2 linked regions of the Arabidopsis thaliana genome follow. The protein of the gene in region 1 interacts with the protein of each later gene in a pairwise test. Each region holds a gene or a part of one and is shown in the gene's direction. Other genes may lie near its edges. The genes, in order: AT3G14100 and AT1G16500.

Region 1 (5,776 bases):
TGTAACTGCTTCTTCTACGAGTTAACCGGCTTGAACCGGAACCACCTGGAGAATTTAATTCTTCTTCTTCGGGAGTTACGGTGGTATCTTCTCCAACTTCGACGGTTAAAGACGGAGAGACTGATGGTTCCTCGAGGAAAAGTGAATCAGGCTCGAAAGTAGTTGTGTGGGAGAGAAGAATGTTACGGAACTCGTCTTCGAGTCTAGCCATAGCGATTTGAATAGCTGAGTTGGCTTTGACCTCGTGTTCATCGACTACGGTGGCGGCGGAGGTGGCGGCGGAGGAGGAAGAAGAAGAGAAAGAGACAGAAGATAAGGACCGTTGGATTTCATCAACGGCTCGAAGAAACCGATCCACCTCATCACGATCGCTTTGGAAAATCATCTTCCCTCTTGCTCCATCAGTCGCTGCTGAGTCCCACCGGAGTATTATCCTCTCCGCTGTCTCTAAGTTCGAACCATCGGAATCTAAACTATTCTCCGGCGGTTCCATCTAATAAATCAATCAGACAACAACAAAAAATCAAAAACAGTATAAAGAAAACTTCAAAATTCGAAAGCCAATGAATGATTCTCACCTCCACCGATTCAAATTCTTCTCAGATGGAAATTCGTGAAGGAGATTGGTTGATTTTTTGGTAAGAAACCACTTCGGTTTTTTTTTTTTTGCTTATCGGAAGAAGTCTTAGCAAAGGCAAAGCTGTCTGTTTGTATTGTTTTTAGTTTTAATTTTTGGAAGTTTCTGCGAGAGGTGGGAAATCGGAAAAAATAAGTCTTTGGACTTTTCAACTCCTCTTTGTGTGTACGTTGCCGATAAATTTTAAACTTTTTTATTCCGAATTACTCGCCGGCGGCGTAAAATGCCCGGTAAAAACTTTTTTGGTTTGTCGAATTATTGGGTGAGATCTAGTCATAAATGCTATTATGCCTAAAACAAAGTCCCACTTTCTCGATATAAAAAAAAAGACACACATCATGTCTTATTATGATCTTTCATTTCCATAGTGGGATCACTTAAGCCAGTAATTTTGGAAACTTTTTTTTTTCAGTTATCTAAAAATATATATATATATATATATATGACATATACATTTTCAAATATACAATACTTTCAATAAACTAAAATAATGTAGTTGTTTCTGTGCTACTAATTCGGATTTTTTCTTTACATAATTTTTGTTATAAATAGTTTACCTAAAATGTTATGACGTGGTTGGCCCATGTTGGCATGGCAAGGACATCAATTTGTATATGTAATCAAATTACCTGCGGATAAGAGAGTACCAATTTGGACATGTTTTTTTTTTTTGTATATTTTTGAATAGTCGAGAAAATAAATGTAGATTGTCAAACCTCATAATGAGATGTGGTTGGTGGACCATACTTGATTTTAATCGAGCCGATTAAGTAAAGGAGATAATACAAGTTGTAGTCATGAATATTTAAGGTTATTGAATTGTTTGAACAATTAGGTTAACTTAACAATAAATTGAAAATTTGATATATCTCACATACAAGATCATAATAATACAATTTTCTTTTTCAGTTCTCAATTTGTTTCTCTTTCACACAAAAAAATAATCCTCATTTTATTTGAGTCCTTAAATAAATTCATCTAATCAGTCACAAAGACCGGACTAATCCAATATACACGCTTGGGTCCACAGAACAAGTTAGTCAGAAATACTGGTCCTCCTTTGATATCTGCAGGATAAACGACGTCGTCTTTAGATATGGGCTTGGGCCTAAGACTGGGCTGTCAGTAAGATAAGGAACGGACAAGGAGTATTATTGGCAGTCACTAAAAATGGTTGTCACAGTGCCGTGACGTTAGTTTCACCTGACTTGTTCTCTGAAAATTAGCAATAAAATAAATCGTGCTATAAATAGTTCACTTGTGCCGCACGGTCCCTCTCATCTTCTACGGACAGCTTCTTTCTCTTTCCTCTCTGATTTTTTTTTTCTCTTTCTACCTTTTTCTTTTTTTATTTTCTTTCTTTTTTTTTTGTTAGTTTTTTTTTTTTTCTTTCTTCATCTCGTGAACGATATAGTACCTGAACCCTAGCGGAGGAAAATCAAAAATTGTCTAGGAGAAACAAACAGAGATATCTTTCTTTCTTTTTATCAGTGGGGAAAAAAAATGCAGAATCCGAGACTGAAGCAACATCAGCAGCAACAACAACAACAAGCTATGATGCAGCAACAAGCTCTGATGCAGCAACACTCTCTTTACCATCCTGGTGTTTTGGCTCCTCCTCAGGTTTTTATTTTACCTTTATTACATCTTCGATGTGTCTAATTTTGGTCGAAATTGGATTTTTTTTTTTTTGTACTGTCGTCTCTTTCGTGAGTCCTTTTATTCCGGGTCGGGTTTAGTTTGTGTTCTTCATTTGAAGATAATTTTTGTTCATATTCTGTGTTTCTTTTTCTCATTTGATTGAATGGATGGCTAGGGTTTCCAGATCCTGTAGGCTAGCAATTCGTTCCTTTTATCTGTTGTGATGTCTTTGTGTTTTAGTTTTGTTGCGTCATTACCAAATTGAGCTGATATTTACCTTCTCGTGCTTTTCTAATGGGGATAGAAAAGAAATTGCAATCCTTTTCATTTTCTTTCTTTCTTACTTTTGGCAATTGCAGTTAGAGCCTGTTCCAAGTGGAAACCTTCCTCCTGGTTTTGATCCCAGTACTTGCCGTAGCGTGTGAGTGAATTTTTTTAGCATCGCTTTGTCTGAAAGGTGCAGTTCCGAGTTTATGTTTTAACTTCTCCAATTATTCTAATATTGGCAGGTATGTTGGAAACATCCATACACAGGTCACAGAGCCTTTGCTTCAAGAGATTTTTACAAGCACTGGCCCTGTTGAAAGCAGTAAACTCATCAGAAAGGATAAGGTAGTTAGATTCTAAAATCCACCTGATTTCTACTTTATTGTGAAAGTGACCCTCTTATATAGTAGCTTTCTTGTTTTGGACGAGCATACCTCAACAATTGCACATTTTTAATACTTTAAGGAAACTACTCTACTTGCTGCTTACTAAAAATGGACTCATAAAGCATGCATCTTTTTATTTATTTGCAGTCATCATATGGATTTGTTCACTACTTTGATCGAAGATCCGCTGCTCTGGCTATACTGTCTCTGAACGGAAGGCATCTGTAAGGAACAATTTTCATAGTTTCCTTCCTCTCCTCTTCTTATCGTTCGAATGCTTTTGTTTAGGTTATAATCGTCGAGTTTACAGGTTTGGACAGCCTATCAAAGTCAATTGGGCGTATGCCACTGGTCAGAGGGAAGATACATCAAGTAAGTTTTGACTTTTTTTAAGTGTTGCATTTTGTTTGTATGTTTTTGAGGATACTCAATGTTTTAGTTTCCATGAGTTGCAGGTCATTTCAACATTTTTGTTGGAGATCTCAGTCCAGAGGTCACTGATGCAACATTATATCAAAGCTTTTCTGTCTTTTCCAGTTGTTCGTAAGTTCTGTTGCTTGATCAGCTCCTTTTAACTAACTTATTCTACTTGGTTGTAAAACAAATATCATAATCTCTGACTGTGTCTAATATTTTGAAGGGATGCGAGAGTTATGTGGGACCAAAAAACTGGGCGCTCGAGAGGCTTTGGGTTTGTTTCCTTCCGCAATCAACAGGTAATGTACATTCTTTAAATCATGCAGTGAGTTTTTGTTTTAGCTCAAGGATTGTTCGTGGTTTACATTAATGTTAAATGTTGATTTCATTTGCAGGATGCTCAAACTGCCATTAATGAGATGAATGGTAAGGATTATATAGTAGCTGAGATCTCAGTACTTCGTTCTCATGCTTTCTTGTTCTGAAGTGCTTAGAATTTGCATGCAACTGAATGATACTGTGCCTAGAAAGACCTGCTGAAAGTTTTCTTGATTTGTTAGTCAAGAGCTGCTGAAAGTTGCATAACTTCTGTTTCAGTGTCATCTAAAATTGAGGTTTTCTCTTTATTCTTAGCAATTAATCTTTGTTTCTATCACATCTTCTCAGGTAAGTGGTTAAGTAGCAGACAAATCAGATGCAACTGGGCCACGAAGGGCGCTACTTCTGGTGATGATAAGCTCAGTTCTGATGGAAAAAGTGTTGTGGAACTTACAACTGGCTCATCAGGTTGTCTTTCTATTACTGTGCAAATTCTTATGTTTTTTTCTCCTTCTCCTCAAATGGAATTTACGAACCTACATTGATTTTCCCTGAGTAATATGAAAAACTTTAAGTTAACAAAGCCATATTGGTCGTTTGATTGTGCAGAGGATGGTAAAGAGACATTAAATGAGGAAACACCTGAAAATAATTCTCAGTTTACCACTGTTTATGTGGGAAACCTTGCTCCAGAGGTACATTATCCACTAGGAAGTGCTCCTTGTAATACTATCACAACAAAAACAGTTTATTTGAGGTTCTTTGATGAAGTTTTACATTAGTAGATTTCGGGTACATCGTTACAGCTATCTATCTTGCAGGTAACTCAGCTTGATCTACACCGTTACTTCCATGCTCTTGGCGCTGGAGTTATTGAGGAGGTCCGTGTCCAACGAGACAAAGGCTTTGGTTTCGTGAGATATAACACTCATCCCGAAGCTGCTCTTGCTATTCAGATGGGTAACACTCAGCCTTACCTCTTTAACAGACAGATAAAGGTACTTTTAAGTTTGGCTTACCACTCTAAACCCTCTCTATTTGATCTTACTGCTCCCAAAAGTTACTTCATCTGAAACTTAGCATGCAATCTGACATTTGTTATCATGTTAATTGTAGTGCTCATGGGGAAACAAGCCAACTCCACCAGGTACAGCCTCAAACCCACTTCCCCCACCTGCCCCAGCTCCAGTTCCTGGTCTATCTGCAGCTGATCTCCTAAACTATGAGAGGCAATTGGCACTTAGCAAGATGGCAAGTGTGAATGCGTTAATGCATCAACAGGGTCAACACCCTCTAAGGCAGGCTCATGGAATAAATGCCGCTGGAGCAACTGCAGCCATGTATGATGGTGGCTTTCAGAATGTAGCCGCCGCACAGCAACTCATGTACTATCAGTAATAAACCTCAGTTCGTGGCGCCGATCTCAAGTTTCAATCTCTTTGCTTTTTCTCTTTTTTTTTTGTTTGTCTAGAACTTGTTTGTGTGTGTCTGTTTGTCTCTCACTTAAGTTATCTATATAAAGTTTTATCTGCAGTTGTATGATTAGTTATGTATTCCCATGGATTGTAAGACAAGCGAATTACATTCAATAAAAGGGATTTGGATATCCATTCTATGTGATTTTACATGAACATAAACAGACAACAAAGAAAAAAACATTGCGGAAGGATCAGTCAGTCTCTAACCGAGCAATGTACGTATCATAGAACTTTCCAGCTTTCTCGAGATCTCCCAGCTCGGTATAACAGTCTGCAATAGCTCCATATGCTTCAGTGATTCCAGAATCTTCACTTTCCCTCTTTGAGATGGCTAGAACCATGGAGTGATACTGTATGGCTTCCCTATACTTCCCTTGGCGCTGCAGCGAGGCGCCTAGGCCTCTTGCAGCCTTCTTTTCTTCGGTGGGGTCTTTGAGACTCTGGGCAAGTTCCAAAGCTATCTTGAACTCTGTATAAGCTTTCTCTGGTTCTTGGTTCCTAAGAAAGGTTTTTCCTGTTTTCAACTTGGAAATCAACTCTTGTTTCTTTGGTTCCACAATGATTTCACTATCTGGGATTCTTGCTCCCACTGGAGCATAACTCAAGCTTGGTGCATAAGACTCGATTTTGGC
Region 2 (3,861 bases), on another chromosome or scaffold:
ATAATAATAATAATAATCAAACCTTTTCCTTATAAATTTAATTAATAAAAATTAATTGGTAAATTGCTGATTTATGTTGATATTATTTATATATATTGTAGATTATAAATATAAATGATATTCTTATATTTTAAAAAGACAATAGAACGTTACAAGTTTGAATAATAAATTTTGACCGGTAAATTGATGGTTTGTGTTGATATCATTACGTATTATATATTATTGACAAAAAACATAAATACTGATATTTTTAGATTTTAAAATTTGAAAATAGAACGTTATAAATTTTAACTAGTAAGTTGGTTGTTTGTGTTAATATCGTTTGTATTATATAAAATCGACAAAAAAATAAACGATATTTTAATTTTTCAAAAGGTAATAGAACGTTGTAAGTTTAAATAATAAATTTGACTGATAAATTAGCAGTTTGTGTTAATATCATTGTATAGATTATATATTATTGACAAAAAACGTATATGACATTTTGGATTTTTAAAAAGATAATAGAACATTATAAATTTTAATGGTAATATCGTTGTCCATATTATATATTATCGACAAAGGTTCTAAAAAAGACAATACAATCTTGAAAAGTTTTTTTCTAACGCCTTATAACGGTTACTTTATTTAATTTAGTTCTCTATAATTTTATATTAAATGAATATTATCAAATAATTTAAATTTATATCAAATTATAACAATAGTAGTATAATTTTTTTTGTTTCAGTTAACTTGAAATCCTTAACTCTAAATTTCAAACGTTAAATTCTTAGAAAATATACCATGAATATAAAAGTTGAAATTCTAAACTCATAAATCATAAAATTTAACTCACAACAAAAATATATTTTACTCTAAAATATAAACTAATTCACCATAGTCGAATATAGGTATGCAACAACAGAAAGAATATAGGTATAGACAGACTGAATAGTGGCTGAAATTATTGGGGACATAAAAAACATATCCAACCTATGGCCTTAATATGTGTAAGAGTTTGGTTCTAATAAGATTTCGAAAAGTCAAGAAATATATGAAGGATATGTTCTTGTTTTATCTTTTTTGCTAAAGGGATATAGATTGGTGTTAAACACATAATACTAATGGTGGTTTACTCTAAATACCACATTCGTACCAATACCTACTTCATTAAATATCTTTGACGTGCCCAATAAAAAAGAGAAGACGAAGTGCATTAAATACATGGTTCATCAATGCGTGTAGTTAATTGAGTAATTAATTGAATTTGAACGTAAGACTAAGAAAAATTTGAAAATTATGATTACAACAAGTAGAGAGAGAGGAGTATGACAAGGGGTAAAATATGTAATTTAATGGATAGAAGCTTGAATCTACTTGTAGTTTCCATGCATTTAATGCGTTTTATTTTCTTAGCATTTATTACACTTTGTGTCTGCTTCCTCCTTGAATTCCTCCCTCCACACCTTTTCTTTGGCCTTTTTGCTGTTAATTTGTTACTCTTATTTATTTATTCATTTAATACTTATGTTGGCAACAACAAAAAAAAGAGTTTGAAAGTTTAGTTCGTCGATGAAAAAGATGATTCATAAAGTTCTGAATTATGGGTTTGATGATATTTACCTTAGCCTTTTTCCACTTAGGCATGAATGGAATGGGTACAATCTCCAGTTTATAAACGTATGACAAAAATATGAAATATGAAATGATTCATATACTATCTTTCACAGATTGTAAGGTGTAGAATACAAAATTACACATGAAATTAAATCTTTCACGGTAGACAAAAGATGGTACAACAATAAAGAATTTCCATGCAAACAAAAGTATCCTAGTATATTCACAATAAATGAAAGAAATTAATTGGCTATAAATTTACTACTTATAACCGTCCTCGTAATTAACTTTGAGAGTAGAAGGCTCTGTTTTTCTTACAATGGCCCCATCTATATAACTCTCTCTCTGCCTAACAGACCCCATAACTGACCTCCCCTCTCTCTCTCTCTTTCTCTCTGCTTTCTTGGTATGGCTGCTGACGTCAGCTCTCTCGTACGGATACTGAGTAGGTTCAAGGATGATCGGACGGTTGTAAAAGATTCCACCGGACCAAGATCCACGGTGGCGCTCATGACACGCGATCTCCTCGGAATCGGCGGTTGTGTGGGTGGAGGAGGAGGAGGAGACGAACAGTCGCTGGAGCTTGACCTTGACGTCCAAGTCCCTAACGGATGGGAAAAACGTCTCGACTTAAAGGTTCGTCGCTATTTTCTTTCTTCTTGATTTTTGTAGTTTCGTGTTCTCGAGAGAATTTGGAGATAAGAAACTAACAAAACAGAGAGGTTTCCAAAGATTTGAATGATTTATAGATTCGTTGTGATTTTTTTGAACAGTCAGGGAAAGTGTATCTGCAACAACAATGCAATTCAACGAGCTCGTCATCATCGTCTCATCATCATCATCATCATCACGAAGACCAAACCAACCAAACAGTTCCAAGATTTCAAGATTTGAATGTGCCACCGATTTCCGATAAGTTTCCGGCGAAACCATTGTTAAGCCTCTTCGACGATGACGACGACACAAGCCTTGAACTGAAGCTAGTTCCGTCTTCTATCTCTCGTCCTCTTCCTCCTCCTCTGTCTTCTTTTTCTCCAAATCAGTCTCTCTCGTATCTATCGAGTGTTTGCACACTAGATAAGGTGAAATTGGCTTTGGAAAGGGCGGAGAAAGATACAAAGAAACGCCAATCTCCTGAAGATGACGGCGTTTACGATGGAACCGCTTCTGCCACCGTCGCGGCGTCTCAGGTGGCGGCTGGATGTCCAGGGTGCTTATCGTACGTGTTTGTGGCAAAGAACAATCCGAAATGCCCGAGGTGTCATTCGTTTGTTCCTTTGCCTGCCATGAAGAAGCCTAAGATTGATCTTAACATTTCGATGTGAAAAAAACTTTGGGGGATAGAATTGAATGGTTTTATTTTGTAGGTTCGATTTCTGTAAATGATAGATAAAATCAGGGGGTTTCATTGAAAAGAAATTAAATGCAGAAAGGAAGAGATGGATGTTATTTTGTAAATTGTTATGTAATGGATTTTCTCTGATGAATGAATAGTTGATCTTTAATTATTTGAAAAACGCTCTAATTAATTAGATACTACTAGAGAGTAAGAGGTAACCAAATTATACTCTTATATTATTTGGTCAACATATTTCATTATATTTACTTCAACTGTACTGGTATTTATTCCGCATCTTAAAGAACCCAATGTTTTTATTTGTCATATTAAGGAAGCAACTTAAGTCACGGGTTAGTTCAAAGTTAGTTGGAGAAATTTATATAAGTTACTTTATTATTCTCTCTGTTTCGAGATATATTTTAGTATATGTTTAGTTTTTATACATGATGTATACTGTATAAAAACTTATTTGCAATTACAAAGTGTATACCATTGTTTGTATATTCATATTATTTAGAAAATTTCTTTAGTATTAAATTAGGTGTAAACTAAAAGGTAAAATAAAAAACATTCAATGAAAAAAAAAATCTAATTTCTGAAACGAGAAGAAATATTCCACAACATCTAGTATTTGAAACGGATGGAGTATTTTGAAAATCATATTCTTATACAAAATGCACACGCTTGCAGCCTTAAACAATCTGGCTTGATTCTTTTATTTTAGTGTAACGGAATATTTACATTAAGGTAATCTAATGACGTTTCAGTATTTTCAAGTATCTTTTGTTCCCAATGACATTAAGTGGAGTATGACGAATTCACCGTAGACATAGAGTACTGGTAAGGCTACTTAATACATTGATTAAACCGACGAAAAATGAGAATTTAAGTGGAATAATGAGTCATTAAAGTTTGCTGACCTAACT

Evidence for each region.
Region 2: the proteins of AT3G14100 (region 1) and AT1G16500 interact in a two-hybrid assay, tested with the Arabidopsis thaliana proteins (one large-scale study listed by BioGRID).

Annotation. Positions count from the first base shown.
Region 1 is NC_003074.8:4,670,887-4,676,662, forward strand, and holds AT3G14100 (RNA-binding (RRM/RBD/RNP motifs) family protein), read left to right. Parts: upstream 1-2,029; 5' UTR 2,030-2,140; coding exon 2,141-2,260; intron 2,261-2,637; coding exon 2,638-2,699; intron 2,700-2,787; coding exon 2,788-2,890; exon of another isoform or gene 2,891-3,078; coding exon 3,079-3,155; intron 3,156-3,241; coding exon 3,242-3,303; intron 3,304-3,386; coding exon 3,387-3,474; intron 3,475-3,571; coding exon 3,572-3,647; intron 3,648-3,743; coding exon 3,744-3,774; intron 3,775-4,014; coding exon 4,015-4,134; intron 4,135-4,275; coding exon 4,276-4,361; intron 4,362-4,487; coding exon 4,488-4,664; intron 4,665-4,782; coding exon 4,783-5,064; 3' UTR 5,065-5,276; downstream 5,277-5,776. Other genes in the region: EXO70D3 (exocyst subunit exo70 family protein D3), read right to left, coding at 1-493; FLU (Tetratricopeptide repeat (TPR)-like superfamily protein), read right to left, coding at 5,336-5,776.
Region 2 is NC_003070.9:5,637,075-5,640,935, forward strand, and holds AT1G16500 (filamentous hemagglutinin transporter), read left to right. Parts: upstream 1-1,704; 5' UTR 1,705-2,004; coding exon 2,005-2,232; intron 2,233-2,369; coding exon 2,370-2,921; 3' UTR 2,922-3,128; downstream 3,129-3,861.